2 linked regions of the Callithrix jacchus genome follow. The protein of the gene in region 1 interacts with the protein of each later gene in a biochemical or structural test. Links are inferred from orthologs where the notes say so. Each region holds a gene or a part of one and is shown in the gene's direction. Other genes may lie near its edges. The genes, in order: LMNA and EMD.

What was found.
Region 2: the proteins of LMNA (region 1) and EMD form a complex in vitro, tested with the Homo sapiens proteins (4 studies listed by BioGRID and IntAct, with this or other methods). The link is inferred for Callithrix jacchus from reciprocal best matches to the Homo sapiens genes LMNA and EMD.

Annotation. Positions count from the first base shown.
Region 1 is NC_133519.1:16,528,491-16,532,291, forward strand, and holds part of LMNA (lamin), read left to right. Parts: intron 1-63; coding exon 64-189; intron 190-738; coding exon 739-959; intron 960-1,051; coding exon 1,052-1,274; intron 1,275-1,720; coding exon 1,721-1,828; intron 1,829-1,919; coding exon 1,920-2,039; intron 2,040-2,464; coding exon 2,465-2,554; intron 2,555-3,291; coding exon 3,292-3,561; intron 3,562-3,801.
Region 2 is NC_133524.1:150,171,514-150,175,896, forward strand, and holds EMD (emerin), read left to right. Parts: upstream 1-1,580; 5' UTR 1,581-1,713; coding exon 1,714-1,795; intron 1,796-1,919; coding exon 1,920-2,027; intron 2,028-2,175; coding exon 2,176-2,253; intron 2,254-2,466; coding exon 2,467-2,600; intron 2,601-3,035; coding exon 3,036-3,082; intron 3,083-3,163; coding exon 3,164-3,491; 3' UTR 3,492-3,898; downstream 3,899-4,383. UniProt on the Homo sapiens protein: Stabilizes and promotes the formation of a nuclear actin cortical network. Stimulates actin polymerization in vitro by binding and stabilizing the pointed end of growing filaments. Inhibits beta-catenin activity by preventing its accumulation in the nucleus.

The DNA of each region.
Region 1 (3,801 bases):
GCTCAGGCCTATCCCTCCACCCTCCTGGTCATCACCGTCCTACCCTTGTGTCCTTCCCTCCAGCTGGACAATGCCCGGCAGTCTGCTGAGAGGAACAGCAATCTGGTGGGGGCCGCCCACGAGGAGCTGCAGCAGTCACGCATCCGCATCGACAGCCTGTCTGCCCAGCTCAGCCAGCTCCAGAAGCAGGTGATACCCCACCTCACCCCTCCCTCCAGGGGCCTGGAGTCTGGGCAGGATGCAGGCTGGAAGCTCAGGGCCGGGTTGTGGGGGGTGTTCCTGAGGAGGACAGGGACAAACATGTCCCCAGGACCACAGAGAAGGGTCGCAAGATGCGGCATCAGGCGGCCTGTGTGCTGCTTCTGCACTCTTACCTTGCCTTCACTTCTCAAGGCTTCGATTTTCCCACTCGGAAATGGAAGCTGTTCTTAATCTCCCTGACTCAGAGTTGCCATAAGACTCTGCAATGTGAGGTGTTAAAAGCATCAGTATGATTCTAGCTGGCTGTGCCATCTGTGATGGGAGAAAAAGGGTCTAGCCTCAGAGTGAGAGATTTCAGTTAGACAAGGGGACAAGGGGAAGGACTTCCCAGTTGCCAGCCAAGACTATGATTAGAGCTTGTGATGGGCTCTGGGGAAGCCTCTGATTGCAGATCCTGGAGAAGGTGGCCATGTCCCTCCTCCTCCATACTTGGGGCCCTTGGGAGCTCACCAACCCCCCCAATCCCCTCCTTCCCAGCTGGCAGCCAAGGAGGCGAAGCTTCGAGACCTAGAGGACTCGCTGGCCCGTGAGCGGGACACCAGCCGGCGGCTGCTGGCAGAGAAGGAGCGGGAGATGGCTGAGATGCGGGCAAGGATGCAGCAGCAGCTGGATGAATACCAGGAGCTGCTGGACATCAAGCTGGCTCTGGACATGGAGATCCATGCCTACCGCAAGCTCCTGGAGGGTGAGGAGGAGAGGTGAGTTGGGGAGGCATCGGGGAGGTGGTGGCAGTGGCCTCTGGCCAGCCACTGGCCCTGACTAGACCCCCACTTGGCCTCCCTCTCCCCAGGCTACGCCTGTCCCCCAGCCCCACCTCGCAGCGCAGCCGCGGCCGTGCTTCCTCCCACTCGTCCCAGACACAGGGTTCAGGCAGCGTCACCAAAAAGCGCAAATTGGAGTCCACCGAGAGCCGCAGCAGCTTCTCGCAGCACGCACGCACTAGTGGGCGCGTGGCCGTGGAGGAGGTGGACGAGGACGGCAAGTTTGTCCGGCTGCGCAACAAGTCCAATGAGGTAGGCTCCTGGTCAGGGTCTCAGGGGGTACAACTGCATCAGTGAGAGAGTGGCAAGACAGAGGGATGACATGCGGAGAGAGGGTCATCCCACCCCTCAGAGGGTGGACCAGAGTGAGCCTGTATATCTCCTCCACACTCTAGTTCCAGGCCTTGCTCCTGGACTCCTTGGCTGTGAGATCTTCAACAGGTTCTTTAACCTTTCAGAGTGTCAGTTTCCTCATCAGTAAAATGGGATCAATAATGATCCCTAAGTCTTTGAGTTGTCAGGAAGATGACAGATAAGGTATCCGTGTGCCTGGCGCTGCATATGTGTCCACAGATCATGGCTATTATCCCCAGGCGGAAGGGCAGGGACAGGGGTGGGTGTAGATGGAAGAAAGCCAAGATACAGCCAGGAGCCTGGGTGAGCCTCCCCCACCTTCCTCTTCCCTATCTTCCTGGCAGGACCAGTCCATGGGCAACTGGCAGATCAAGCGCCAGAATGGAGATGATCCCTTGCTGACTTACCGCTTCCCACCAAAGTTCACCCTGAAGGCTGGGCAGGTGGTGACGGTGAGTGGCAGGGTGCTTGGGACTCTGGGGAGGCCTTGGGTGGCAATGGGAGCGCTAGAGTAAGTGTCCTTTTCTAATCCCTCCTCTCCAGATCTGGGCTGCAGGTGCTGGGGCCACCCATAGCCCCCCTACTGACCTGGTGTGGAAGGCACAGAACACCTGGGGCTGCGGGAACAGCCTGCGCACGGCTCTCATCAACTCCACTGGGGAAGTACGTATGCCGGGGCCGGGCTGCTTCCTAGACGAGGCTCCCCCTAGTGGCCAACATCGGAGCCAGCTGCCCCCAACCCAAGTTTACCAATTCAGGGCCCCTTTCTAGGGCTCTCTGGTGCAGGCCCCAGATGTTCCCAGCCAGTAGGCAAACCAAAAGATGCTTCCCCAACAGCACGCGGGGTGGAAGTCAGACAGTGAGTGAGGATTGCTAAAGGCAGAATCATACTCCTACTCGGAGAACTTGACAGTGTCCCTCTGGGGTAGAAATGAGTTCCTTAGCTCCGTCATCGCAGAGGGCAGAGTAAGCAGCAGGCTGGACAAAGGGCAGGCCACAAGGAAAGCTGCAGGTGGTCACTGGGGTAGACATGCTGCACACCCCTTCCCTGGCCCTGACCCTTGGGCCTGGTCCTGTGTCCCCGCCAGGAGGTGGCCATGCGCAAGCTGGTGCGTTCAGTGACTGTGGTTGAGGACGATGAGGATGAGGATGGAGATGACCTGCTCCATCACCACCACGTGAGTGGCAGCCGCCGCTGAGGCTGAGCCTGTACTGGTACCACCCAGCCAGGCCTGGGGGCAGCCTCTCCCCAGCCTTCCGTGCCAAAAATCTTTTCATTAAAGAATGTTTTGGAACTTCACTCGCTGGCCTGGCCTTTCTTCTCTCTCCTCCCTATACCTTGAACAGGGAACCCAGGTGTCTGGGTGCCCTACTCTGGTAAGGAAGGGAGTGGGAACTTTCTGATGCCATGGAATATTCCGGTGGGAGCAATGGACAAGGGTCTGGATTTGTCTCCTGGGAAGGGGACAGGAGGACAGACGTGGGGCATGCCCGCCCTGCCTCTCTCCCCCACTCCTGTTGCATGCATATCCTCTCTTTTCCCTCATTCTTCCTGTGAGAATGTTCTCTCATTCCTGCCCCCACTCCAATGAATAGTGCGTGCCTCCTGCCCTATAAGCATGCTCCCTTTCCCTCTTCTTTCCCTCTTAAGCTCAGAGTAGCTGGAGCAGAGTCAGAGTCACCGCTCTGGTTCTCTGTCCCCAAGTCTTGCTGAGCCTTCTCCTATTTCTCATCTTCCTTCCCCTCCTCCCAGCCCCTGGCCTCCCAAACCCCTGTTACCCACTGGCTCCTTGGGCACAGAACCCCACCTTCCTGCCTGGTGGCTGGAGCCTGCAAGAGCCCAGAGCCTGGGTGTTGGGCCTGAGTGGTCAGTCCCAGACTCGCCGTCCCGCCTGAGCCTTGTCTCCCTCCCCAGGGCTCCCACTGCAGCAGCTCGGGGGACCCCGCTGAGTACAACCTGCGCTCGCGCACCGTGCTGTGCGGGACCTGCGGGCAGCCTGCCGACAAGGCATCTGCTGGCAGCTCAGGAGCCCAGGTGGGCGGATCCATCTCCTCTGGCTCTTCTGCCTCCAGTGTCACGGTCACTCGCAGCTACCGCAGTGTGGGGGGCAGTGGGGGTGGCAGCTTCGGGGACAACCTGGTCACCCGCTCCTACCTCCTGGGCAACTCCAGACCCCGAACCCAGGTGAGTTGTCTCTGCTTTGTCTCCAAGCCCTGCAGGTGGGTCCCTGGTCATCGAGGGGTAGGATGAGGCGGCCTCGCAGGGGGGAGAGCCTGCCTTCTCTTCCGCAGCCCGGGGGAGTGGGAGCCTCCTCCCCACAGCCTGAGGCCTAGACGGCCCACCCCTGCATCCTGCCCCTTGTCTGAGCCCCAGACTGGAGGGCAGGGGCAGGGCTGGAGCGTGAGGGATAGGGGAGACACTACC
Region 2 (4,383 bases), on another chromosome or scaffold:
AGAATATGAATGTCACAGCTGTATGCAGTGGCTCATGCCTGTAATCCCAGCACTTTGAGAGGCCAAGGTGGGCTGATCACTTGAGGTCAGGGTTTGAGACCAGCCTGGCCAACATGGTGAAACCCCATTTCTACTAAAAGTACAAAAAGTAGCCAGGTGTGGTGGCATGTGATTGTACTCCCAGCTACTAGGGAGGCTGAGACAGGAGAATCACTTGAACCTGGGAGGTGGAGGCTACAGAGACTCAAGATTGCGGCTCTGCACTCCAGCTTGGGTGACAGAGCGAGACTCTCTCAAAAAAAAAAAAAAAAAAAAAAAAAAAGAATATCACCTCTTCTCCATTCTCCGTAGGGCAGCCCTTATCTGATCAAGGTCCTGGGAATCCTAGCCACAGTCCAGGCTCCTGAGCAGGCCTTGGCAGCCCTTCCATAGCTCGACACCCACGTCTGCCCCCTGCCGGGCTATGCTGGGCTCAGGGGCCATTCCGACAGAAGAGGAAGCCCCACTTCAGCTCCCGCCAGTGCCCCGGGTGAATGAACGACATGAAGCGTTAGGCTGGACACACGTCATCTCTGCACACATCGCACAGCGCCCTCTGTCCGCGCTCACTGGCGTGCTCGCTGGCTTGCCCGGGCCCCTTCGAAGGCTGCTTGCTCCTGGAGTGCCGGCGGCCTCCTGGCCCAGTGCCCCATTTCCTCCCGGGTGGAGCGAGGTAGGAGAAAAGGAAGGAGGGAGGCGGTGGGAAGCAGCGAGCATATGTGCACGGGCGACAGCCCTGCAGACTGGGAAGGTGGGCCCGTGGCAGGGGGTCTGCGAGGACCGCGTAGGCGCGGGCCTTGCCCCACAGCCGCTTCCCAGGTGATGCGCACACAAAGCTCCCTCAGTAGTGCCTAGCCCGGGGCCGGCGCTCCCTTAGGGTTCAGACCCTTCCCGCCGCTGCTGGGGCGGCCGACCCGGATGCGGCCGGGGAATCCTACGCCCTGGGGCCACGGGAAAGGGGACCAGGGCGTAGAGAAGGGATGTGCTGGGACGGTGGGGAGCCCAAGTGACTTAGGGACCAGAGCCACCGCTAGCGCCCACTTAGGCCGCTCTCACTTCCCGGCCGGCAGATGCCGGGTGTTAGACACACAGGCCCCGCCCCTCTCTACCGACTGGCTCACGCACGCCTCAAGGTGACGTCTAGGCTCCCAGCCGCACCGCCCAGACTCCCGTGCGGGCCCCACCCCCAACAGCTCCGGGCGTTAGTGACGTACGGACTCGCGACCCCGCTCGCTCCCACCGCGACACCTTCTGCTCCGCTCCCGCGCGGGCCCCGCCCCCTCCATCGCTAGCCAATCCGTGTGTTTGTGACGTTGGGCTTGCGGCCCCGCCCACTCCCACCGCGAGACTGATTCCCACTGTCCTGACTCTCGGCGCGGGCCCCGCCCCGTCCGCCGCTAGCCAATCCGTGCGTTTATGACGTTTGGACTCACTGCCCCAGCCTCCCAGCTCCCAAGGCCCGGCCGTTCTGCGCCTGCTGCTCCCGCCGTTAAGCCCCTCCCCGCACAGCGCGCGCAGCCTGCGGAGCCCGAGGCCGTGACGAGACAGTGATTTGGCTGTGACGCGAGCGCGATCGCTCCCGAGGCGCTCGTGCCGCCCCCGCCGTGATCCTCGGCAGCCGCTGCTCGGCGGGTTTTGGCAGGGGCCCGGCTTCCGCCCGCGCCCGCACCCGCCATGGACGACTACGCGGGTCTTTCGGATACCGAGCTGGCCGCCGTGCTGCGCCAGTACAACATACCTCACGGGCCAGTTGTCGGTACGCGGCGGCGGGCAGGACCTGCCCCCGGGCCCCCTCCCCGCGCTCTGCCCCGCGCCCTCCCCGCCACCCTACCCGCGCGCCTTCCCCGGCTTGTGGCCCTGACCGCCTCGTGTCCGGCCAGGGTCTACTCGTAAGCTTTACGAGAAGAAGATCTTCGAGTACGAGACCCAGAGGCGGCGGCTCTCGCCCCCCAGCTCGTCCGCCGCCTCCTTCTCCTATCGCTTCTCTGGTGAGAGCCTCGCTTGTGGGGACCGGGCCTGGGATGCGGGGAGATCGGGGTCGCGAGGGTGTGGCAGGGGCGCCGGTCGAGAGCGGCACCGGGGAGAGGGGAGGGAAGCCTGGGGGGCAAACAGTTCTGTCGCCTCCCTTCAATCCAGACTTGAATTCGCCGTCAGTGGATTCAGATATGTATGATCTTCCCAAGAAAGAGGACGCCTTACTCTACCAGAGCAAGGGTAAGGCAGGGGTGGGGTGGGCACGCTGGCACGTTCACCTGACTGCGTCAGGGACCCCGCTCACAGGGAGGACCTGAGACCTCAGCCCCAACCACTCCAGCAGCCTTAGGAGGGAGAAACTGTCACAGGTCCCGAAAGAGATTCAGATTAGGGCCAGCAGGCCAGGTGGGGCACACCGATGCCCCCTCTGCTACCGCTGCCCCCCTTCCCAAGGCTACAATGACGACTACTATGAAGAGAGCTACTTAACTACCAGGACTTATGGGGAGCCCGACTCTGCGGGCCAGTCCAGGGGCTTCCGCCAGTCTGCGACTTCACTCCCAGATGCTGACACTTTCCACCACCAGGTGAGCTGGCTGGCAGGTGCCCTGTACTTGAGTACAATCTAGGGGATGGCGGCTGTGTTTGGATAAATCCAGGGGGCCACTGGATACAAATGGTGGCTTCTGTGCTTCTGGGGAGACTGGCTCAGCAGACGCCTGTTTGGCCAGGTCCCTACTTTGGGGAGCCATCAGAACTGTGACTAGAGCACCCTGGTCTGCAATCTAGGCTCAAGCTTTTCCTGAGACTCCTGGGGGCAAAAGGGAATAGCAGGGCATGAGCACAAGTGACAAGACCCCACAAACAAAAGACTGAACACCAAGAGCCATTCGGGAGGGTGTGGGTCCCTGGCCTCTAACCAAAGGTCAGAGGGCACCAGCTGGGGAAGTTTGGACTGAGGGATGTGGCAGGGCCATGGTGGCCCTGCCAGTCGGTCCACTCACCCTGACTCTCTTCTGCAGGTGCGTGATGACAATCTTTTGTCTTCTGAAGAGGAGTGCAAGGATAGGTACGTAGAGGGCAGGCCCAGGAACAGGGACTGGTTCTGCACCCAGGCTCCTGGCCCACCTGCTCCCCTCTTTTGCCTCAGGGAACGTCCCATGTACGGCCGGGACAGTGCCTACCAGAGCATCGCGCACTACCGCCCTGTTTCAGCCTCCAGGAGCTCCCTGGGCCTATCCTATTATCCTACCTCCTCCTCCACCTCTTCTGTGTCCTCATCTTCATCTTCCCCTTCATGGCTTACCCGCCGAGCCATCCGGCCAGAAAAGCATGCTCCTGGGGCTGGGCTTGGCCATGATCGCCAGGTCCCGCTCTGGGGCCAGCTGCTGCTTTTCCTGGTCTTTGCGATCTTCCTCTTCTTTGTTTACTACTTCATGCAGGCGGAGGAAGGCAACCCCTTCTGGAGGGAGCCCTGAGGGTCTGGGCTTCAGAGCCAGCTCTTCTGGGGAAGTCCTGGCTGATGGCCTTAGCAGTGAGGGTGGGGGTGGGGGTGGGGGTGGGGGCTTTTGTGTGTGTTCTCGCTTGGGGGGCGCTGGCCCAGCCCAGAGTAGTGCTTGCTCCCCTGCCTTGTCCCACCAGGGAGGCAGCAGACTCAAGCCCTCCATGATCTGGGGGACCTGGGTGTGCTTTCCTCTCTAGCCTCCTGGCCCTGCTTGCCTGTAACCCTTAGGGTCCAGGAGGGCAAGGCCTCGCTCCATCAGAGAACATGGTTATTGTTGTTGTCATGCATGCCTCCTTTTAGTTGTCATCTTGAGGGGATTAACCAAAGGCCACCATGACTTTGTTTTCGTGGACACACAATAAAAACCCCATTTATTTTTAATGTGTTGACTCTTCCTGGAGGAGAGGGTTGGGTTCCCATGGCAAGGGCATCTGGCCTTGCTGGGTCTGCATTTTGGCTTTGGTCTGGGGATAGGAATCAATTGCTACCCAGAAATGTTTGTGTTTTGTTTGGGAGTTTTATTCCCTGACTCATTCCCCAAAGCACGTGTAACTGCTTATACATATAATTGTGGTACAACAAGGTATATACAGAGAACCCACTTGGAAATTCAGGCAAAGCTGCATGCACGCCACCAGCAGTCTGCGGGTGTTTTAACTGGAAAAAGCTGAAGTCCACCCGATTGTCCAAAGGCATGGGGACAGAAAGAAGATGAGGCGTCTCATTGGCAGATCATCCTTGGCTCCTGGAACTGCTGCTTGTTTACCATGGGAGAAAAGCTCCAAAGGCCGCATCATCCCTGGGTGGTAGAATTCACCTGCCTATATTCTCACTTAACTCCCAGATTTTCTGCCCTGGGTATGTAT